Caenorhabditis elegans: one gene and its partner. The protein of the gene in region 1 interacts with the protein of each later gene in a pairwise test. Each region holds a gene or a part of one and is shown on either strand. Other genes may lie near its edges.

Region 1 (4,847 bases):
GCTGAAAGTGAGGTTTGCGTGTGCTTTGGCAGTAAACTAAGAGTATAGATGCCTATATAGGCACAGGCAGGCGTAGGTTGCAATGGCGAAGGTAGAAAATTTGAGAAATTAGGGCACAAGAGCAATACACCAATACAAAAAGGTCAGACAAATTACCTTCTTATTTATGTGATGAATTCTTTGGAAAGTCATATTGTAATCTGACTCTCGCATCTAGTCGCCATACCTTTTGTCTAATATTCGAAACCTTATCTACGTCGTTTTAACCACCCTCAATGCGTGTGTGTGTGCAAAAAGTGTGTTGTGTTTCGGTGGTGCAGAGATCACTGCTCCATCTTTTGATCTTTTTTCCGCATTTTCTGTTTTTCGTATATATTCAAAAGAAAACACTTTGTCCTCCTCCTTTTGCTTTGCGCGCACGCTTGCCAAACTCTAGTCTTCTTGACCACCACATCAAATCAGAACTTGTTGGTTTCAGATGAAAAAGGGGCGAGAAATATGAGAAGATCAAATGATCGTCTCTACTCTACTTGAATAATCTCAATATGCTGCTACGTGCTTGAAGTACGTAAAAAGAGCAAAAGATAATCTGTGCAATAACAGCTGATTATCGGGAGAGGAGGGCAGAGAGCTATTCTGATTGTAGGAATATGTCAGAAGCTGGTCTACGCCAACTGATCTTTCGAATTCCCCTGCCAGAGATTTTGACTAAAGTGAAGTCAGGTCAGAAGAGAAAATGTGTATTTTGTTTTGTTCTTCTGATTCTTTTTGGATCAATGAACATTTTTGAAATTGATATTTAATATAGTTTGTGTGGTATAAATGCTACGTTTATTCCCATGTTTTTTTCATTTCTGGGCAAGTTTTAGTAATTTATTTTATAGAATTCTCTTTGCAACTGATTACGAATAACTACATTTTGAAAATTGTACTTTTTATAACATTCAATTTTTAAAACTACTACTTTGTACTGTCAGCAATCAAAACTTCTTAATGAAAGTTTGCCGTACTCTTACTCTAATCAAGCGATCCGGTTTCGCATGACCTTCTCACCTTTTCAACTGCTTCACGTGACATCAATTATGAATAATGCAAACTTTCACTTAATTTTTTAAAATTTAACCGACATACATACCTGTTATAAATACAGAGCCGACGGGACGCGACTGAAAATGAATAAAATCGTGCTCCATACAATTTATGTTCTGACTAGTAAGCTTTTTCATTTTCATCCGTTCAGCCAATTTTCAAAATTTTGTACGCCTGACATGTTTTTATGCATACCGAATAAGAAATTCAAAAGGTTACATTCCACAATTTACAATTTGCAGTTAAAGCCTTTTTTAATTTTATAATTGTAAGCATTTTTTCAGTTCTGTAATCAAGAGTCCTACAAAAAAATTGGTGCACTCAACACTGTGCCCTGCTTTTCCCAAAAAATTATTTTTTTGTTGAAAAATCGTAGTTGAGAATTCTTGAACATAGGTTCGGCAAAACTGAAAAAAACACCTAGAGCTCACAGTGATTATTACAAAATTTAGAAAATATTGCTGAATCTAATTGTAAGTTTTGACGACTTTGTCACATTTTTTCTTGCCGTATTATCTGTAACTTGATCAAACAGTTGTTCCAGTTTTCCTAATAGTTTTCATGAAAAATAACGTATTTTGTACTCTTTTTCCTATCCCACATTCGATAATATTATCCACCATCATCATCAGAATTTCATCAATTTCTCCCATTTTTCTCTGTCATACAGGGTCATCGAAAGACCACGTGATGTAACGCTTTTGCAGGCACCTAGCATGACGGATTACTGTATTTTCAATATATCTTGGATGTCTGATCGTTTTGGGTGTGAAACTGGGAATGAAGACGTGCAAGAATGTATTGATAAAAGGTGGGAGAATGAAGAAAAAAGGAATAGATCAAAGAAAAAGGAAGAAGATAATATGATAGAAATTATGAAAAATGAAGATACGGTTAGGAAGACAACTAAACATGATAATCACTTATTTTGAGATCTTTTCGGAGAAAAATGATAACAAGAAAAAAAAAGAGATGATCGTGATTGTTTTATTTTTTAAATAAGAACTAATCTATTTGAGGGGTTTTCAATTAAAGACTTTTAACAGTAACTTATAAAAACACAGTATTGAAAGTTCGATTGTCGGCAGTTCATTCAAAATTGACAGATTTTAGAAGCTGTCTGCCTGCTTTGCAAGTTCACTCTTATCAGTATTAAACTGATATTACCAGCAATATATCCGCTAATTGATTAAATGAATTTTTAGTAAAAATAATTTGAGTAGACTGTAGTATATTCTGATTTGCAAGTTTTATTTGATCAAGAGTTTAAAAAGAGTCTAGTGAAGTCACATTGCATCAATTTGACAGGCCTTCTTTGTTTTGCATTATATCAATAGATTTTCGGATCTGCCAATGTTTTCAGGTGTGTCATATATGTTTTTTTGTTTGCTTTGTAAATATAAAAAAAACCTTTTTTCAAGAAAAAGTGACATGTTTTCCAGATACTGCTGCAAATTTTAACTTTGAAATAGTGTATTTTTTATTTTTCAGCGCAGAAACACGTGTAAATTCGGCGGTAAGACTGACTTGACGGCATGAACGTTCATTTGTTTATTTTCTGTAGAAAAACAGTTTTGACGAACCACTAAAACTAGATGCTTCCACGATTTCTAGAAGTTAAGCTGGAATTTCATACGCTGAATAATCGTGAACTCATGGCACAGGATTAAAAAATGCTTCCAAAAAGTTCAAGTTGTATTTTGGAATTAGTTCAAAAATTTTGGAAATCATAGACATCGGACTAAATTAAATAAGTTCGATTTTTGTCCATCTATCCATTTGCCTGTAACTTCCATAAATCACAACCAGTCCTTTGCCTCTACCAATTGATCGGATGGCGTCAATCGACTATCGATTCTTCGCCCGATGATATCATTCTTGTCCATTCCTGACCCTATCGACACGATTTTCTCATTTTATTCTGAATTCGGTGCAAACTGTACCTTTCAACATCGTCACTCTTTTTCCAGTAAATAACGGATTAGTCGGAGGGTTTTTGAATGTCAATTCCCACTTCAATCCTATAAAAATGTAAAACATTCTTCTCTGGTTGCTAACTATAAGACCAAAGATCCGAGCGTCTTGTTGACCATCGGGTCAGTAGTGCCACGTGGTGTCTCTCTACTCAATTCACACTCAATTTGATCTTTCGATCCACTCCTTTCTCTGCGTATCCACGTTGATACTTCTCTCGCCGCCCTTTGTACAAACAAACCGTCGGCAGAATTGAGAGGGAAAAGGACGAAAAGTTTCCATTTTTCAGTTGAAACGCTAGGGAAAAAGAGTAAAAGAGATGATGAAAGACAGTGAGTTTTACACTGATTATGTGTATTTTATGTTGGTCTTCAACTCTTTTTTTGCCTCGCTTTCAATCTCTCTCACTCACTGTTTCAATATCGTTTTTGACTATATTTGGTTGCAGGGAACTGTTTCTTGTTTCAATTGTCAGACTACACTTTTTTCACTGTAACAAGGAGCTTTTGTGATACGGAATAGCCATAGTCTTCAGAAATTGATTTTGAGAAATTTTTTCTTTCGTTTTTAGTGGAAATTGTATTTTTGATTTAATTTGTACTATTAAAAATGTGATAAAATTTTACTCAAACTTTTAAAATCTCGAAAATTCCCTTAATTCTATCCCTAAAATTTGAACTATTCTGTTAGTGTAGTAGACCAAGAAATGGTTTTTTCCAATGATTGTTTGATTTTCTTTTAATTTTTAAAAATATTTTTAGATTTAATATGCAACTTTAACCTTCTCAAAATAATCAGAATTACAGTTTTTTCACGCCTTCCAATGTTTTTTTTTCAATTTTGACACATTTAAATGTAATTATTTATACTGCATTCATTTTTTGGTCACATTCAAATTTATTTTATCAAGATTTCTCTGCTAGCTACTTAATTTTTAATGCAATTCCCCACATCAGTAACTTTCTGATCCTATATTGTTAGAAATCTATTTCCAAATTGAGAACTATTTACAGTTGTGTCGTCAATCTCTGTAGAAAGTTACAAGTTAAAAAAAAAGAACATATTCTATGAATATTATATCATAGTTTGATCATCTAGTTGTCTAATCTCAACTCTATATCGGTGGGTACTGCTACCCGTTTTTCTCCCCATACAAAAATCGCCTTGCACATCTGAATCTCTTCGTCACGTGACACTCACTAGCTCATCTATTTTCTCTAGGATTCTCTAGGACTGTCTGCGTCTCTGATTTTTGAATCCTCTCTCGTTTGAATCGATGTAGTTGTGTGACGCTGATTTTGAACGTTTGAACTCGCGCAGGATCGAGACGAAACATTTTTTCGGTATGCGCGTTGAAAAAGGAAACGAAAACGGTGCGAGAAAAGCGGTAGAGACATCGCAGACACGAGGTCAACTTGTGTCCCATTCCTGTTGATATTCTCACTTTTGAATTTCAGTTTTTGAGTTACTTCAAACTTTTTAAAAATACACAATTAATTGAAATATTATATGTGTATTTTTAAGACGTTCTACGGGAACTGCCCCTGATTGTTCACATCTTATTGAAATTTTTTGAACTCTACCCCAAATTGTGAAATTTCAACTCACTGCATCAGAACTAACAAAACTGAATTTTAAATCTTTCGTTAATTTCAAACTTCTGTTTCGAGTTTTAAATTCAATCTGGTTTGTCTTCCGTTTTTTAAAATTAATTCTTGAATGTAATTTTTGCAAATTCTTGATTTTTCATACACTTATTTTTGAGATGGATTAATGTCGTTTCG
Region 2 (5,698 bases), on another chromosome or scaffold:
ACGAGTAAAAATGGAATATCGATGTCTCTATTCGAAAATAAATTCATTTTATGCCGAATTCGAGCCCATAAATCGACACGAGAGCTATAGCTGTTATTGTTTCTTGAGTTATTATACTGAGTTATTGCTTCTTCTTCAATTTAATTGGTATCTTTTTTAAATTATCAAAAAATCTGAAAACTTGGAAAGCCTCAAGTTTACTCATAACTTTAATCCTGTTCAAATGGCAAAGTTCTTCAATCCAGATTACAAGAGTGACAAACAAACAATTTGCAATATCTCGAATGACACATTTGTCATAAACTTTACTGATGAATTTTTTAATTTCGAAAAAACAAGGTGATTGAAGGTTTATTTGTTTTCTTTCAGTGTTAATATATACATTTTATAAATATTTATGTCTTTCGGTTTTTTGTTGCTAGTTTTCCAATAAATTTTCACATTGAAAAACAATTGTAATAAATATTTATTAAAAATAATAAAAGGACAAAAAAGCAAAGTACCGTAACGGTCTAAAGGATTGTCAACGATTTTTAAAGGTGGGTCTTGACGCGCGAGTTTCAAAACGTCCATGCGCCTTTAAGGATACTGTAAAAGTATGCATGGAAGTTTATTTTTTTTATTGTTTCCGCATTTTTTTCTCAGTTTTCCCTTTGTTTGGGGGTTTTTTCTTTGTAAAATTTGTGTTTTGCTTGCAAAGTTATTTTTTGAAGAAAAAATGTCATGAAATTTTATCATATGAAACTATGTATTACTGAAATTAATTTATAGATCCTTGAATTTTGCAAAAATTTTGGTCGCAGAGAACAGTTCAAATATTTATTTATTATCTTTTCGAAAAGTGTAAAACGATTTTCATAAAATTCGAGCACAGAACACAAAATCGTCGCACACAAATTCGTTTGTCTTTGCTCTTTTTTAGAACCTCCAGCTTCTTCACCTTTGTGCAATCCATTGAAACCTCCTTCAGAACCTCTACGACCGCCCGTTAGACTCCTCCTCTCCATCACGTTCTCTGCCATTCTCCGCTTCTTGCCCAATGTTCCCGACTGTCTCTCCGTCTGCGTCTCTTCTCTATCTCTCCTCTGCGACAGACGCACTTTCTCTCTCTCACTCACTTGTTCACCTTATCAAAATCTTTTTTTTTGTGCGATGTGGTTGGTTCGACGGTCAATTGTGAATTGTCTATGGTGTAGAAATCGATTATTAAATCTTAATTACACTACTTTTTCGGTCCAATGGTGGTATAGAGCACTGCCAATGTGAGTCATGATGCAATTTGCATGATGGAAGCTTCTAGGCTTTTCTATGCAATTTTGAATTTTCTTTCGATTTTCATCAGTTTTTATAGATTTTTCTTGCAAAAATCAATGTTTAGAAATCCCCATAATGGTTCGCTGCAAAAAAAGGATTTTTGGTTCAAATACAGTGAAACTGCCAGAAACAACCTAATTTTATGACGAGACTTCTTGAAAAAATCCAACAATTTTTATGGCGAGTCAAAATTTCGAAAAAAAAAAACAAATTTTCGTTAAAATCTGAATTTTGTTGATTTTTTTAATGCCTTAAAACTTGTGTCTGAATCAAAGATTTAACGTGATACAAACACCCAAAACATTCGATAATAGTTATTTATACAAATTTATGGGATTTTTCAGTCGTTTCAGGACCCAAAAACCCACAAATTTAATTAATTTTTCTTTTGAAATATTTCAAAAATATCAGTTTCTTTTTAAATTCCATCGTTTAAAATATTTTAAAATATCTCCAATTTTAATAGAAACCGCCTCCTTTCGCCTTTTGTCATCTGATATATGAAATATGATATGCTTTACACATATATCCCTCATTCTGACCTCATACCACTTCCATATTTCTCAATATTCTAACCTATTTTTCCTTTTTCAGCCAAACTCTTCATTCCATCTGAAACAGTACCATCAAAATGTTTTCCCGTGTGGGACGTCTCACAACTTTTGGTGCCCAGGCTGTGTCAAATTGTCCGTTCCGCAGAGATAACATCTATCAGCAGCCGTTGAAGGTTTGCTTTTTGTTGCAGAAAAATATTATTTTTGACATGAAAAATGTTTTTCAGGTAACCGCACCGATCAATGACCAGCTGACCAGTTTTGCGCACAGCTTCTCCGATTCAGTGAGGCATAGAACGTGAGAATTGCGCGAAAAAATTCAAATCAAGAAAAATATAAGCTTACAGGACCAGCTTCGGAAATGATCCATTCCTCGGCGTACCCATGGACGACGATGAAGTCATCAAAGAGCTCGAGCTACTGGACCTCGACTCATGGCACACTAAGCCTCGGGCTCCGTGTCCTGCACCATCAGACGAGCTGGAACTCGATCAGTTCTGGGAGGGAAAAAACGTGACGGTTTGCGGCAGAGATCCTAGATTGGGAAAATCAACTGATTGTTTTGAGCTGGAAGCATGGCGACCGACCGACTCATGGCAGAATGGTAGCAGTGTTGGACATCCACATGGTCATCAGCAACAACAGCAGACATGTCAGCAGCCGCCCACGCATTCAAGTACAACAGAAACAATGCATGATTTCTCCAATTTTGGAGATAATATGGTACGGGAAAAATAGTTCTTAACCATTGTGCAGATTTATACAACAAAAACTAACCATTAATTTCGATTTGTGTGTTTCTAATCGAATCTTTTTCGCATTGCCGACTAAAAATCCCCCAAAAAGACCTTTCATAACGAGAGTTTTTAAAATTTTCGAAAAAAAATCAAATTTAGCTGAAATCTCCAATTTTGCCAACTTTAAGCCGCCTAAAATTAGTTTTTCTTTTTTTTTTGGTTGATTTATGTGCATTTAAAGCCGAAATCAACACAAAAAAAACACGAGAAACATTAAAAATAAGACAATAATCAAAGGAAAATTAAAATTAATTTCCGGCTGCTGGAAGTTAACAAAATTGGAGAATTAAAGGTGCAGTAAAGTCCAAAAATTTTTTATTTTTAAAAATTTTCTAAAATTTTTTAATAGTTTTTTTTTCAATTTTTCAAAAATCAAAAAAACGGCCGAATTAAATTTGAATTCCCGCTCAAATTAGTGACGTTATTTTTGATATTTTCGTGTTTTCTGGCTGAATTTACCGGTTTTTATTAAGTTTTTCTTTTATATTTGATTTGAAACAACGTTTTTCAATTTTTCAGACACTTTTTCGGTTATCAAGTTATCTTCACGGAAAAATGTTCGAAAAATTGGCAAACGGTGCTTTTTTTGAGATCAAATGTAAAAGAAAAAATTAAGAAAAACCGACGAATTTAGCCAGAAAACACGAAAATATAAAAAATGGCGACATTCATTTGCGCGGGAATTCAATTCGACCGTTTCTTTGATTTTTGAAAAATTGAAAAAATCTCAAAAAATTTAGAAATTTTTTTTGAATTTTTTTACAGTTATATTCGGTTATTAGGGTCTATTTTCTGTCATTTAAAGCAAAAAATTTCGACTCTACTCCACCTTTAAGCTAAAATTTGGTCATTTTAGCGAAAATTTTGAAAATTCTCGGTATGAAAATCCGGGTTTTCGACAGCATGCATTTTGATCCTAATAAAGCAAAAACCCTGAATTATAACATAAAAAATACAAAAAAATAACATCACACCACCCACTTTCCCGCATGCTAATCTGCTCTCTTTTCAGGGCTCCCCGCTCTTCCAATCACCATCAAAATCGGCGATCGATCAGCTAACGGGAACTTCCCGAATAGATGAGGTATCTTTTTCCCCTAATCCAAGAACTGATTCTATGATTGAAATAGTTTCAGTACGGAATGCCACCACAAGATCGAAAATTGTCAAAGTTCGAAATGGACATTGAGCAAGAATCGAAAGCTGTCGATTGGGAGGTATGACTTGGAAAATAATTTCTTGCTAATATTACACTTAACACTTTTTCGTTTTTTCTTGGAGTGTTCAAAATATTAGTGACCTTTAAAAATTAATTTTAAATGAAAATCATTAATAATTTAAATTTTTTAGGCATGGAATCACTACTTGGAGAGCGACGACGACGTTTTTAAGCGTCCAGAAGCATTTTTCAAGGAAGAACCCATGATAATGACGTCATCCGATTCGTTGATGACTTCGTCAACTTCATCTCCAGATTCTGGAATAAGCCTCTATGATCCGATGATTCCACCACCATCATCTCACTTTCCCAGCTTCAACCTGAGCTCTTCATCATCAGCGTCGAATCTTTTGAGACTGTCAACTCCATCAGCTCCAATGCAGCAAGAACATCGAGCACCTGTCAGAATGCACCATGATGTTGATCTTTTCTCTTCTGGACCTCTTCTTTGTGTTCCGAAACAAGAAGACGTTTTCGACGACTTTATCCAGCAGAGAGATGATGACGATGAAGACTATATTCCAGCATCTGAAGCCAGAAGAACAAGTTCACGTCTCAATCGGAAATCTGCTACGCCAACTTATCTTCGGCGTCGTGATTCTGAACGTTCGTGGACGCCAGCTTCCGATGACTATTTTCCAGAAGAACATCAGAAGTTTAAGAAACGTGGAGTTGTTCTGAAGCCTTCAGTCGACGAGGAAACCGATCGAAGACGAATGTTGAATAGAATAGCAGCAGTTCGGTATAGAGAGAAGAAACGAGCCGAGAAGAAGGGAAGAAAAATGTAAGAATATTTATTTTAAACTTGCAATCTTGAAAAATATAATTTTAAATTTTAAAAATTTAAAGCAGATAGATATCTAAAATTTAATATTTTTGCAGGGAGTTCCAAGAAGTAGCTGATCGTAATCGAATTCTTCTTCAAAAAGAACGTCAACTAAAGCGTGAGATCAACTCGATGAAAAAGGAGCTTCGTAAAATGGGCGCCATTATTCAATAATCAGAATTCGAAACAATTGTTCTTTTTTTCTGTTCTTTTCAGTTTTGCTAACTTTTTTTTTGGTTACATAGTTTTTCTCCCTTTGTTCACCCAACTGTAGATCATTTTTCATAGAACCTTTCCCCCATCTTTTTTTTCTCTCAAAAACTGCCCATTTCTTGTATTTTTGTTACGGGTATTCGATCCCAAATTTCCCATCCAATTTCAACTCCTCAAATCTAAACTGCTCACATCTCAATCAGAAAATCAACTCAAAATGAATGATAATTTTTTTAAAAATTGTTTCACAAATGTCAAAACATTTCAATGATTTTTCTTGTGTTCGTGACGCAGTTGTGTAACATTTTTACACAAACATCACTGCTGCACGATGTAATATCATCGCCATGAGACGGTAAACTTTTAAGAAAAATGTGGTTTGATATCAAGGTTGAACATTGTTCCTGTGTCGAATTACGCAGCTCGTGTACTCCCCGAGGAAAAGCTTTTACAGTTTTTTGCTAGAAATGCAGAATTTTGTTCTATTTTTGCGAATTCTTATTTTGAATTTACCACTCAGATAAACGTTTTCGCTTCTATTTAGAAGAAAAAAGCAGATATATTTAGAAATGGCGCTAGCTCCTAACACGACATAATTAGAAATGCTTTTTCATCTAAATAGCAGAGCTTTTTATAACTAAATAGGTCTACTTCTTCTAATTAGAAGTACCTTTTTGTTCTAAATAGGTCTACTCTTTTCTAAATATAAGCGCATTTTTCTTCTAAATATGTCTACTTCTTCTAATTAGAAATACCTTCTTCTTCTAAATAGTTC

The links. Proteins that work in one complex are often made in the same cells at the same time.
Region 2: the proteins of nhr-34 (region 1) and atfs-1 interact in a two-hybrid assay, tested with the Caenorhabditis elegans proteins (one large-scale study listed by BioGRID).

The regions. Positions count from the first base shown.
Region 1 is NC_003282.8:9,669,620-9,674,466, reverse strand, and holds the start of nhr-34 (Nuclear hormone receptor family member nhr-34), read left to right. Parts: upstream 1-1,796; 5' UTR 1,797-1,805; coding exon 1,806-1,900; intron 1,901-4,847. UniProt on the Caenorhabditis elegans protein: Orphan nuclear receptor.
Region 2 is NC_003283.11:14,192,538-14,198,235, forward strand, and holds atfs-1 (Stress activated transcription factor atfs-1), read left to right. Parts: upstream 1-1,908; 5' UTR 1,909-1,945; coding exon 1,946-2,041; intron 2,042-2,095; coding exon 2,096-2,166; intron 2,167-2,215; coding exon 2,216-2,591; intron 2,592-3,677; coding exon 3,678-3,749; intron 3,750-3,795; coding exon of another isoform or gene 3,796-3,801; coding exon 3,802-3,882; intron 3,883-4,015; coding exon 4,016-4,668; intron 4,669-4,766; coding exon 4,767-4,884; 3' UTR 4,885-5,155; downstream 5,156-5,698. UniProt on the Caenorhabditis elegans protein: Acts as a transcription factor during mitochondrial stress by activating the mitochondrial unfolded protein response (mtUPR).